Linked DNA regions of Ovis aries. The protein of the gene in region 1 interacts with the protein of each later gene in a pairwise test. Links are inferred from orthologs where the notes say so. Each region holds a gene or a part of one and is shown on either strand. Other genes may lie near its edges.

Region 1 (4,049 bases):
GCAGGGGCTTGTGCTATATTCTGTGACGGAACCAAGTTTGTCGGGGCAGAAGGCAGTCCAGAAGGACCAGCTGAACTAACCTGATTTGTAACAGAAATACTACTAGCAGAGGGCAAAGGACTAACTGCAGGCAACTGCTTCGAAACCACTCCTGGAGCTACCGACTCGACCCCCTGTGGCTGGGGAGGCACAGGTAACAGGGTACTCTGGGGTGCAATGACCAGTTGCTGAGGAAGGCTTGAAGCGCTGGGCTGAACTCCCGGATGAAGGATCGCAGCTGGAGCAGGTGGCACTATCTGTGAAGACGGAGGAGCACCTTGCTGGATAACTGAAGGTGTGACTTGGGTGGAGGGCTGCTGCAGTGCCGATGGTAGGCTTGTCTGTTGACCAATATTTGCGATTTGACTGCCGGGTGGTACCGCAGCTACTGTCGTGTGAGCCTTGCCAACAGGTTGGCCAGCTGCCCCTGCAGGTTGTGCCTGGACTGCCGAGGGCTGCACTGGGAGCTGGATGCTCTGTGGCTGAGCCATAGGAATCACCGTGGCTCCCACGGCCACCCCTGCAGAAGTGGGCTGTCCAGAGGATACCGCTGTTTGGAGAAGCGGTGAGGGCTGAACATACTCGGAGGGTGGGTTCGGAGTTACTGATGTACCGTGGCTTGGGGCCATCGGAGGGGCCACAGCTGGCGCCGGCTGGCCATATTGTACCTGTTGGGGTGGCGCCCCTGACAGGGGAGCTTGCACTGGGGGGGCGGCCTGGGAATACGGCAGTTGGGGTTGAGCCAGGCTGGCGATGGAAGGCTGCTGACCTAAAGCCGAAGTGACGCCCACCACGCCAACAGGTGACGGCTGAATACCGGCTTGCAGAGGTACTGGTGGAAGACCTGGCTTCGGCTGATAGCCCAGTTCTTGAGATGGTAACTGAACCTGCGAGATCTGCGACTGAGAAATACTCTGCGGGATGCTAACTGCTGAAATGCCCTGTGGAGCGGTGCTGCTGAAGTCCATCTGCGGAAGGGCCACCCCTGGAAGGGTCGGGGGCGGCTGCGGCTGCACCGGCGGGGCCGCCAGGGTGCCCATCTCTCCGCTGCCCACACTCTCCGTGTAGTGACTCAGTGTGCTGACGCTGCTGCTCACGGAGCTCCCACTCGTGCTCTCCCTCTCGGAAGTCGCTTCCGTCGTGTTCTGTCTTACACTTTCCACCACCTTATTTACCACCACCCCTTCGGTGGCAGGTACGGCGGCGTTTTCTTTTTCATAGAACTCAGTGCAAGTCCATCGACCTTTTCTGAAAGGCTCAGAAGTAGAATCTAACTTCACGACTCTGAACCTGGACGTGTTAACGGTTGGCTGTTGCTGCTGACTCGAAACGGCCCCCACTGTCATGCCCACTGCTGCACTGGCAGCGCTGTTAAAGGCCGCGGAGGAAGCAATCGTACCATTGCCCATGCCACTCAAGATATTCACATTAACCCCGCTGCTCACTGCAGGCCCGACACTCATACTAGCAGCACTGGGGATACTGCTCACACTTATATTAGCGTTACCAAGCATGCTGCTGGTCACAGCAGGATTAAAACTACCCACAGCAGTGATGTTAACGTTATTCATCGTATTGGTGCCCGTAACAGAATTTATACCTAGGCTGCCGGTAGTACTCGGAGCACGGATACTAGTCATGACAGATGCCGGCGAGCCACTCGATGATACAGCAGAAGTTGGTGCAACTGGCATAACACCGTCAGAGCTTCCCGCGGCCGAGAGTTTTCTGGACACTGGGCTTGAGGGCGGCCCTCCAGGGATGGATGTACTGGCCACACCGGCATGGGATGGATGGTGGTGCCCGTGGTGCAGGTGGTGGCCATGAATGGGATGGTGGTGATGGAGGGGGTGTGGATGAGCACTCCCATTGATCACAACGTTCTGTTGTGGAAGGTGAGGCAAATGAGGCTGAGGAAGGTGGGGCTGGTTAGGAGAGACCGCCCCAGGTGTCTCGGCTTCCTGGAAGTTATTGAGAGTCTCTTCCGAGGAGCTGCGTTCAGGCTCCCCTAAGTCCGTAGCCCTGGAAAGCGACACATCAAGGATCTCGGAAGACGACAGATCTTCCGTATGAGACTCATCCAAGTCGTCGTAGCTCTCCGTGTCCTCTGCGATGCTGTTGTTCGAGCTGATGCTAGCGGAGATCTGAGCCGGGGTCACGCTCGTTATCTGGAAGCCACTTTTCTTTTTCATCTGCGTTCCGCCTGGCGCAAGAGGCTGTGCCTGCAGCTGAGCCTGCGAAAGGAGGTTCAGGCTTTGTGGAGGCGGAGGCTGTGGTCCCGACAAAGATGCTGCAGGAGGCAGCGGCTGGAGCAGCGACGGAGGCGGAAAATCCTCGGCAGATGGGGCACTACTACCGACGCCGGTACCTGCTGCACCGAGAGCTGAGGCGCTGCCCCCGCCGCTGCCCCTTCGAGGGAACATTGCCGGGTGCGCCATCTTCCTAGCACTCATGTCTGCAGCGGCCGCGGCCGCCGTGGACTCGGGCGGCTGGTGCATTGTGTTGGGTACCGGGGCGGGGGGCGGAGAAGGCGAGTGCAATTTCCTTCTGCACCGTAATCTTTGTATTCAAGACGCCGAGGAGGAAAACGGGACCTGACGCTCCGCCCGGCGCGATTCCCCCACCTCCTCCTCCTCCTCAGCCGCAGGCGCCGGCCGTTCCTGCCTTCGAGGGCGAGCTTCGGGAAGGGAGGATGGACGAGGGTGAACGGGGCGGCCAGGGACCCGAAGGGGGGCACCCCTTCAGTCCTTCGCCATCCACTTTCCCCTCTGGCCTCACACCCCCTTTATACTCTGCTTCACGTGGGGTGCGGGGCGGGAGGGAGGGGGTGGGGAGGGGAGCGGGGAGGCGAGGGGAGGGGGGTGGGAAAAGCCAAGAAATGCCCACCTTCTCCGGACAACTCCGGAGCCACCTCCGCCCCTCCTCCCGTCGGCGGCGGCCGCTGCAAAAAGCCTCCCGGTCGCCCTGCACGAAGGCGGCGCCGAGCGAGTGTCGCCTTCCCCTCGCCGCCCCCCAGCGCCGCCGCGGCTGCCGGCGGCGAGCCCCGAGCTCAGTCAGTGTCGCTCAAACCTCCGCTCCCGGCCCCGCCGGCCCGGCTCGGGCCTCCTCCCCCCACGGCCCCGCGGACCCTTTCAAACCCCCTGGGCTCGCGGCGGCTGCTGCTGCTCCGTAAGGAAACGCTGGCCGCGACTGGGGCCGGCGCGGCGAGGCTCGGGCGGCGGGGCGCCCGGTACGGTGAGCCCAGCAACGGGGCGCGGGCGGGCGCGCAGAGACGCCGGGTCCTCGCGGAGCACGGCCGGGGCGCGGCGGCGGCGGTGGCAGCGGGAGCCCAGGGACCGCTCCATCACTGGCAGCCATGGAGCCCGAGCATTTTCCTCCCTCCGGGCAGGCGCCTCAGCTCGGCACACGTCCTCGGGGAGGAAGGGGCCGGCGCCCGAGCCTCCCCGGAGGGCGGCGGGACGTGCGCTGAGGAGCGCCGGCGGTGGTGCGAGCCGCTTCGTCCTTGTCCTCCGCAGCCGGTTGGTCCTCTCACCCCCGCTGCTCCCGCGGCCCGGGCGGGAGGGGGCCGCAGGCGACGGCGACTCCTCTCTCGGCGGCGTTGGTGGCCAGACGGGGCTGGTGCAGCGACTGCAGCCGACGCCGTTCAAAGGAACGAGAGGTGGGGTTTGGTCGGTGTCGGCGAACGGGGCGGGTGAGTGGGTGGGTGCCGAGGGAGGGCGGCGGGCGAGGAGGGGGCTGTGGTGGTTGTTACTAGTGCTCTTCTCCGGCTCCGCCGTATCCCCCGGTCTCTCGCGGCATCGGGAGAGGAGGGACCAGCGCCCGAGCGCAGGAGGAGGAGGAGGGGCGACCGCGGGCGAGAGGAGGCGGAGGCGGTGGCAGCGGCGGCGGCGGCGGCGGCGGGAGGGGGCCGGCTGAGGAGACGGAGGGAAGATGGCGTCTGCGCATGCGCCCCGGCGCCGCAGACATAAAGCCGGGTCTGGCGGTAGAAGGAGGCGGCGGCGGCGGGTCTT
Region 2 (4,164 bases), on another chromosome or scaffold:
AAAAAGAATTTTTAAACAAAAAAAGAGAGATTATATACAAAACGGAATATTACTCAGCCATAAAAAAGTGTGAAATAATGCCATCTGCAGCAACGTGGATGGACCTAGAGACTATCATACTAAATGAAGTAAGCCAGAGAAAGACAACTATCATATGCTATCACCCACATGCAGCATCTAATAAATGATACAGACAAACGTGCTTACAAAACAGAAACAGGCTCACAGACATGGAATAGAAACTTAAGGGGAATGAGTGTGAGAAGGGATAAATTAAGGGTTTGGCAGCAGATACAAATTGCTATGTATAAAATCAAATCAACTAGGTTTCAATAAGAATTTTCAAAACAGAAATAAAGTATAATGGTAAAGAATCTGAAAAAGAACATATAGTATAGATGTGTATATATATAACACCACACTGGAAACTAACACAACCTTGTAAATCAACTATACTTGAATTAAATTTAAAAATTAAAAAATATTACTAACTTTAGAGTTGCAACACTTCAGTAACATAGCTGATCATTAATATATATTTTTACATGCTGGTCTGTTGACATATGCTTTTCTAGTTCCATCAAGACAATCAGGATTAATATATTAAATAATAAACCAACACAAGATCTATGTGACTGACTTCTCAGGGACAACCAAAAAATCTGTTTTTAGAAGCTCAGTGTTTTTGATGTTTTGCTAAGTAAGAGAAATAGTAATGAACTAGGAAACCAGCACCAGTGGTCACAAAACTTCCACAACATCTTCCTGTGCCTTATTTTATCTTTTAAACAGTAATTCAATTAGATGAAAACTAAGATCCTTCCCTGAGTCAGAGGTCAAGGTTTTCAAATTCCTTGAATACTGACTTGAGGCAAGCTTAAACTACTTGAACATAGTAAACATTCAATAAATATTTGTTTAGTAATGAGGGACCCAAATTATATTAGCTCTGAAAGTTTACAAAAAATTGAGACTGGGGTGATTTCCCAGGGTTCAAAAAACATCCGTTTTGTACATCATAATGTGTATGTATGCTAAACTCCATGGGGTCTCAAAAGAGTTAGACATGACTGAGCGACTAAATACACACACAAACCTAATACCTTTGTTCAGTCGCTCAGTCCTGTCCGACTTTTTGCAGCCCAGTGGACTGCAGCAGGCCAGACTTCCCTGTCCTTCACCATCTCTGCAGCTTGCTCAGACTTATGTCCATTGTGTCAGTGATGCCATCCAACCAGCTCATCCTAAGTACAAATACCGTGCCAAGGACCCTGGGCACTAAACAGCAGTCTTAGAGATGGGGGGGGGCGGCGCGGGGAGGCGGTCAATAACTGCAGTCTTGCTGTGTGACTAAAATGAAACGAGCAAAACAGCTCAAAGTTGTGGTGCTGGACATCTCAGTTCCCCTGCACTTAAGATTTAAGGTGAATAGAGAACGTTGAGGTTAGTACGAAGTAACTACTCTGCAGACAACCCCAAAGGGTTTAAAAATTGTGGGGAAAAGATTCTGGAAACGACTCTCAATAAATTCAGTTGTCCAGCACACACTGGTGACAGGCGCACCTGCCCGTCAACCACTGTAGCTTCCCGTGATCACGTTCCTTTTTCTTGAAAGGCGATTGCCAAGTACTGAAAACCACAGCGTAAATAAAGCGTTTGTTGTTCAGTCGCTCAGTCGAGTCCGACTCATTGCGACCCTACAGGCTGCAGCATGCCAGGCTTCCCTGTCCTTCACCGTCTTTTGGAGTTTGCTCCCGAGTACCGAAAAATATGGTTTTTCCAGTGGTCATGTATGGATGTCAGAGTTGGACTGTGAAGAAAGCTGAGCGCCGAAGAATTGATGCTTTTGAACTGTGGTGTTGGAGAAGACTCCTGAGAGTCCCTTGGACTGCAAGGAGATCCAACCAGTCCATTCTAGAGGACATCAGCCCTGGGTGTTCCTTGGAAGGAATGATGCTAAAGCTGAATCTCCAGTACTTTGGCCACCTCATGCGAAGAGTTGACTCATTGGAAAAGACTCTGATGCTGGGAGGGATTGGGGGCAAGAGGAGAAGGGGACGACAGAGGATGAGATGGCTGGATGGCATCACTTGACTCGATGGACGTGAGTCTGAGTGATCTCCGGGAGTTGGTGATGGACAGGGAGGCATGGCGTGCTGCGATTCATGGGGTCGCAGAGAGTCGGACACGACTGAGCGACTGAACTGAACCGAACCGAAAACTACAGCGAAAATAGAGCGGACCTGAAGTGAAACGGGCGCTGTAGATTACCAAATGACCTGGGCTCGAGGTAGGCACCCGAGTAACACAGTCTAAGTTTGAACAAACCGCGAAAGGTGACGGCCCTCTCCGGGCACAAACTACACGCCTGCGAGGGGGCGGGGACGACCAGCCTCCCTTGACAGAGAAGGGTTCAGAGGGACACCTGGCGGGGCTCGAGCGAAAGAGCCAGGCGGGAAGACAGGCCTTCGGAGGCTCGCGCTCCCGTTCTCGGCCCTCGCGCCTCCCGCCTCAACCCCTCGGGGCGAGGCTCGGCAGCAGGGTTGCCAGGCCCCGGAGCGGGCTGGAGGGAGGCGGCGGCACCCTCGCCTTCCTCTCGCCCAAGCCGGCACCACCTCCCCACAGCGAACAAAGGCATCGGGCGACACGGTGCCTCTCCTCACCTCTCCGCAGGGTCGGCGAAAAACGCCCACAGGGGCTCAAAACCTCAGAATACAGGAGCGGCCGAACCCAGCGGCCCCACATTTCACGGGTTTTCCAGCCGGAGGCAGCCGGGTGAGAAGACGGGGCGAATCCCGCTCAGCCTTTCGGGCAACGTAGTTCTGGCGCCAAGAGGATGCCGGGAAATGTAGTTTTCGGCCCGTAACACCTCCAACGCGCTTCCCAGCACAGGCTCGCACCGCGCGCAGTCTCGCGAAGTTGGGCCTCTCCACAGACGGACCCGTAGCTCACCAGCATGGTTTACAGCGGCTCCGCTTCTCTCACCGCCCCACCCCAACCAGTGCACGCCGTTACCGCCCTAAGAAGTGGAATCTTGTTTGAGAACCTTCCGACGCCCGTTCCCTGGCAATGAGATGTACAGCTAAACGGCCGTCTCCCGCCAGAGAGCCAGCGGCCATCACTTCTTTGGGTTAGGGAACGACAGAGTAACGTCCAACCCCGCGGCAACCTGGGACGTGCAGGCCTTGGCCGCTGAGCATGCCGGGAGTTGCGCAGAGCGCTTCTGGGAAGTGTAGTCCCCCCGAGGCTCTCGTTTCTAATTTCTTGCTGCTGCAAAGCTTGCCGCTTCGCCCTCTAGTGTACGGGAAGAAGGGAAATTGAATTCTCTCGTTTCTTGGGACGACCTGATTTATATATCACCATTTTATCTCGCTCAGACCTCAGTTACTCCAGAGTTTTCCCCACATGGTAAAATGTTGAAAACAGCAGCACGCAGTAGTTGTGGGGTTCAGATGCGGGGATGTATTCTTTGTAAATTCTTCTCTGTTAGCTTAAACGGTGAAGAATCTGCCCGCAATGCGGGAGATCTGGGTTCAGTCCCTGGGTGGGGAAGATCCCCTGGAGGAGGGCATGGCAACCCACTCCAGTACTCTTGCCTGGAGAATCCCACGGACAGAGGAGCCTGGTGGGCTACGGCCCATGGGGTCGCGAAGAGTTGGACGGACACACTGAGCGACTAACACAACAACAAAGCGGTAAACAGTCGTCAGGTTTTAGCGGCTTAATTATTCTTACAAGAATGTAAAGTTACCACTCAGTCATCAGATTTGTTTTCAGAGCTTTGTGTCAGCCGCATGACAAGCACCGTTCTAAGCACTGAGACACATTAAAAGAACAGGAGTCCCTTCGCTGTACAACTGAAACTACGACGACATTGTTAACCGGCTATACCCCAATGCAAAATAAACAGTTTAAAGTAGGCGGGAAAAAAGAAAACATAATTCCTGACAGGGCTTTAACAGTGTATGGAGAGGAAATATAAGTGATTATTTAAAAATTGAAAAACAAAGAACAACCCCTCCTCAAAAAGAGTTTAATCTCACAGTTTAAAAAAATAAAATAGAACAGAAGGACATACCATTATTACCTGTTAAAGATTTTCTAAAAAATAATGATCAATTCTACCAAATAAACCATTAGATACTGTCACTCAAGCTACTGGCA
Region 3 (4,016 bases), on another chromosome or scaffold:
AAAGTGAATATCTTAGAAATCCCCTGGCATTATTACTGTCAAGAAAGGGGTCCATTGAATCTGCCCCAAGGCCCTTCTTCTTACCCTAGACTACGAAGTGGCTGTAGAAAAAAAACATGAGCCACCCCGCAGCCCTTTACTATCCACTGAGCACTCGTGCTGCAGTCGTGGGGTTGTAAAGAGTCAGACACGACTGAGTGACTGAACTGAAGTGAGCACTCTAAGCTCTTTTAAGATACATCTGGACAAACAAACTTATGCAGATGCATGCACATGACAGGATTGCCCCAGCCTGCTTGGGGAAGACAATTCTACACTGTATTTTGGGAAGAGAAGGAAGTGAACCCTGAAGGGGAGGCAGCAAAGGAGAGGCTAGGGGTGGGAGAAGAGAACTGTCCTGATCCTCAGAGCAAGAATGGGGGTTGACCCTTATCTTGAGGTGATGGGTACCTGACTCAGCTCATCCTTAAAGAATGGGTCTGGGGGCTTTGGTTCATGCATCCTTGATCTAGGAATTAAAGGTTAACTTGACTAGGGCTCCTGGAAAGCAGAGGAGAAGGCCTGGACTTGTTGATCTTAGGGAGAAAGGGCTGAGGGCTTGGTCTCTGGTCCAGAGAGAGAAGGTGCCTGGGACCCAGACTCTTGGATCTGAGGGAGAAGAGGACTGGGTGTCAACTGCTGTGGGTTTTTTTGTTTTTTTTTTTTTTTTTTTTTAATCAAGCCATTTTATTGAAGGGTTTCAGAGGAGGATCGAAAGGCCGGGAGAACAATGAGATCAGACCTCCTTTTCCTGGCCAGAATCTCCCTAGCTTCACAATCATTTAAAGCTCAACTGCTGTGTTCTTGATTGAGGAAATTTTGGAGGCCTAGGACCTCAAGAGGGGACCTCAAGAGGATTTGGGGGTGGGGTCGGGGTTCCTGTGCTGGCGTCCCTGGAAGAGAAGAAAGACGTTTAGTGAGGGTCTGGGTCCGAGGGAGGAGAAAACTGGAGGTGACAGTCTTGGAGAACTCAAAATCCACAACTACGAAGCCTGTGACCCAGACTCCCGGGTAGGCCCTTCCATAGGCGGGACGCCTGGAGTCTCAAGGGGGCGGGGGCCTGGCGCAGGCTCCCACCCGGGGGTTCCAGGCTGCTCAGCTGTGCGCAAAGCTACCACGCTATTGTCCTGGCCGGGAAGGCGGGGCCGGCGCGGGGCGGGGCTGGCGGCGCCGGCGCAGCTCGGGGGCGTCGGCGGAGGCGGCGGCTGTGGCGCTGGGAGCTCCTGTCACCGCTGGGGCCCGGCCGGGCGGGAGTGCTGGAGACGTGAGGGCTCGAGGGCCCGGACATGGGGCCCGCCAGCCCCGCCGCTCGAGGTCTGGGCCCGCTGCTGCGGTTGCTGCCACTGTTGCTGCTGCTTCTGCGCGTGCAGCTCGCCGAAGGGAACCTGGCCGGTGGGAGCCCCAGCGCGGCCGAGGTGAGGCCCGGCCGGGCCCTAGGGGGTGGGGGAAGGGGCGGGACCGCGCCTCTGGACCCCGGGGCGGATAGGTCCGGAGCAGAAGGCGCAGTCTTTTCAGCCAGGTGGCCAGCCCTCAGGCGCCCCTAATAGCACTAGGCATTCAGAAACCCCTAAGTCCAGGCCCCAGCTCGTCCCGAAGTCTAGCCCCTTGAGACACTCTGGACCTAGGTGACTCAGCCCCAGCCCATCTGAATAGGACCCGCCGGGCAGCAAGGCATCTAGAGCCAAGAATCTGGGCCCTTTTTATCCTCGGGACCCATATGAAGGCTCCCGCAAGGCTCCCAGAACCCAGGAGGCTAGACCTCCAGTCACCGCCCCCCCAACCCAGGCTGTAGCTCTCCATCCCCCAAGGACTTAGTGTCCAGGCCTGCAGCGCCCTGAAGCCAGGCCTTGTGGTCTTTCCACTCGAGAATGATGCGAGCGTGAGCTAGGGGCGGAGGGAGGAGGGGCCAGAACGCCTGGGTTCTGGCCTTCTCCCCCGCCATTCAAGTTTAACCCCTTCGAGCTCCAGTGCGGCTGCGCTGGGGTGAGGGCGGGGCTTGTCTCCGCGGCAACAAGGCCGTGAGAATCCCGGGAGACCCCGAGTCGCCATAGCAACGGCAGAGCTGGGGCGGCCCCAGGCCCAGTGGGAGCTGTTTCCCAGGGAACCAAACCTCCACAGAGGCGGGTGCGCGACGCTTGATGGAGGGGGCTGGTGCTGAGGATGTGACCATCTGGGTCCTAGGGAGCAAAGGACCGGGGGACTCACATGTCAGCGTCCCCCGTGCCCTCGCTGATCCCTCCGCCCCACCCCCAGGCCCCAGGGTCTGCGCAGGTGGCTGGACTATGCGGGCGACCAACCCTTCACCGGGACCTGCGCACCGGCCGCTGGGAACCAGACCCTCAGCTCTCACGACGCTGTCTTCGGGACCCGCAGCGCGTGCTGGAGTACTGCAGACAGGTAGGCGGGACCGACTGAGAGGGGCGTGGCCAGCAAAAAAGCGGGTCCAAGCTGGGACCCGGTTGCCCTTAAGAAGCTAGCCGTGCAAAGGCAAGGTCCGGGGAAATGAGGGGTTCAAGAAGGCATGGGAAACTAGGGGACATGGCCAACAAAGAGGCAAAGTTAGGATAGGACTTACCTGTTTTTGAGAAACTAGGTCAAGAAAAGAGAAGAACCATGCAAACACGGCCAGCTGAGGACAGTGTCCAAGTGATGAGATGGAATTTAACAATGTGGTGGACACTTTAAAGAGCAGGTGTAGGTGGGCGTGGCAATTAAGAGGCGGGGCTAAGACAAAAAGACCTCGTGGACTCGAGTGACTCGGAAAGGGATGGAACCCAATGGGAGAGTGGAAAGCTAGGAGGTGTGGCTATGAAAAAGCAAGTCTAATACAAAAAGAAAGGATCCTGAGAGGCCAGAGGCGAGGCTTAAAGAAGGGTGGAATCTATGGGGAGATGAACTTGATTGGGGGAACGGGCAGAAGCGACTAGAAAAGAGATGGGCTTAGAAGGACAGCTTTGGGGTAATGGAGGGACCTTCATAAAGAAACCCGACAGGCAAAGGGGTGCAGCCTAAGGATGGAAGGGAGAGGTACTAAGGGGCGTGCCCAGTGACGGGTGGGGCTTAGATATCTAAGTCCTGTTCTACTGAGAAGCAGGGCCTAGGGAAGAGTGGTTCTTTCGAATACTAGAGCCTTGAAAAGGGACACGCCGTCGCAGGAGCGCACCTGGTAGGGGAGGGACAGAGGGCTAATCGCCCCGACTCGGTGCCCCCAGATGTACCCGGAGCTGCAGATTGCCCGTGTGGAGCAGGCGACGCAGGCCATCCCCATGGAACAATGGTGCGGGGGTGCCCGGGGTGGCCACTGTGCCCACCCCCACCACCAAGTTGTGCCTTTCCACTGCCTGCGTGAGTCACAGGCTGGCGGGTTGGGGAACGGAAGGTGGGGGGTTGGGTGGTAGTCCCCAGGGGGTGAGAGTCTGGCCCTGGTCTCAGGCTCACATTAGGGGGCTAGGTGCCTGAGTCCACAGTGGGACAGAAGCCTCTGAGGATAAAAGATCTGGATTCTGGGGTGGGGGGAGTTGGTAGGGCTGGTGGCTATGGGAGTGTCTCACACCGATGCTGCCCATTTTCTAGCTGGCGAATTCGTGAGCGAGGCCCTGCTGGTGCCTGAAGGCTGCCGGTTCTTGCACCAGGAGCGCATGGACCAGTGCGAGAGTTCAGCCCGGAGGCAGCAGGAAGCACAGGAAGTAAGGACCCAGCCCCTCATCCTCCCACCCCTCCCGAGAACCCAGGATTCCAATCCCCTAACACCCTCCTCCTCCACAACCCGAGTCTGAGCCTCAGCCCCCTCTTCCCAGTGGGACAGAACCAGGAATCCAGGCTCCAAGCCCCATCAGGTCCTCAGACTCAGGCATCCAGGCTCCCCCTCCACCCTTCCTTACTCCCCAGTCCTGGTATCTATGCCCGCTCTGCTCACAGGCCTGCAGCTCCCAGGGCCTCATCCTGCATGGCTCAGGCATGCTTTTGCCCTGTGGCGC

Evidence for each region. The genes of interacting proteins can lie anywhere in the genome.
Region 2: the proteins of TSC22D1 (region 1) and CCDC90B interact in a two-hybrid assay, tested with the Homo sapiens proteins (2 studies listed by BioGRID and IntAct). The link is inferred for Ovis aries from reciprocal best matches to the Homo sapiens genes TSC22D1 and CCDC90B.
Region 3: the proteins of TSC22D1 (region 1) and APLP1 interact in a two-hybrid assay, tested with the Homo sapiens proteins (2 studies listed by BioGRID and IntAct). The link is inferred for Ovis aries from reciprocal best matches to the Homo sapiens genes TSC22D1 and APLP1.

Annotation. Positions count from the first base shown.
Region 1 is NC_056063.1:15,190,391-15,194,439, forward strand, and holds the start of TSC22D1 (TSC22 domain family protein 1), read right to left. Parts: upstream 2,801-4,049; 5' UTR 2,538-2,800; coding exon 1-2,537. UniProt on the Homo sapiens protein: Transcriptional repressor. Acts on the C-type natriuretic peptide (CNP) promoter. Acts to promote CASP3-mediated apoptosis.
Region 2 is NC_056074.1:11,964,979-11,969,142, reverse strand, and holds the start of CCDC90B (coiled-coil domain-containing protein 90B, mitochondrial), read right to left. Parts: upstream 2,801-4,164; 5' UTR 2,746-2,800; coding exon 2,664-2,745; exon of another isoform or gene 1-2,663.
Region 3 is NC_056067.1:45,873,412-45,877,427, forward strand, and holds the start of APLP1 (amyloid beta precursor like protein 1), read left to right. Parts: upstream 1-1,216; 5' UTR 1,217-1,325; coding exon 1,326-1,454; intron 1,455-2,292; coding exon 2,293-2,436; intron 2,437-3,251; coding exon 3,252-3,384; intron 3,385-3,612; coding exon 3,613-3,725; intron 3,726-3,957; coding exon 3,958-4,016. UniProt on the Homo sapiens protein: May play a role in postsynaptic function. The C-terminal gamma-secretase processed fragment, ALID1, activates transcription activation through APBB1 (Fe65) binding. Couples to JIP signal transduction through C-terminal binding.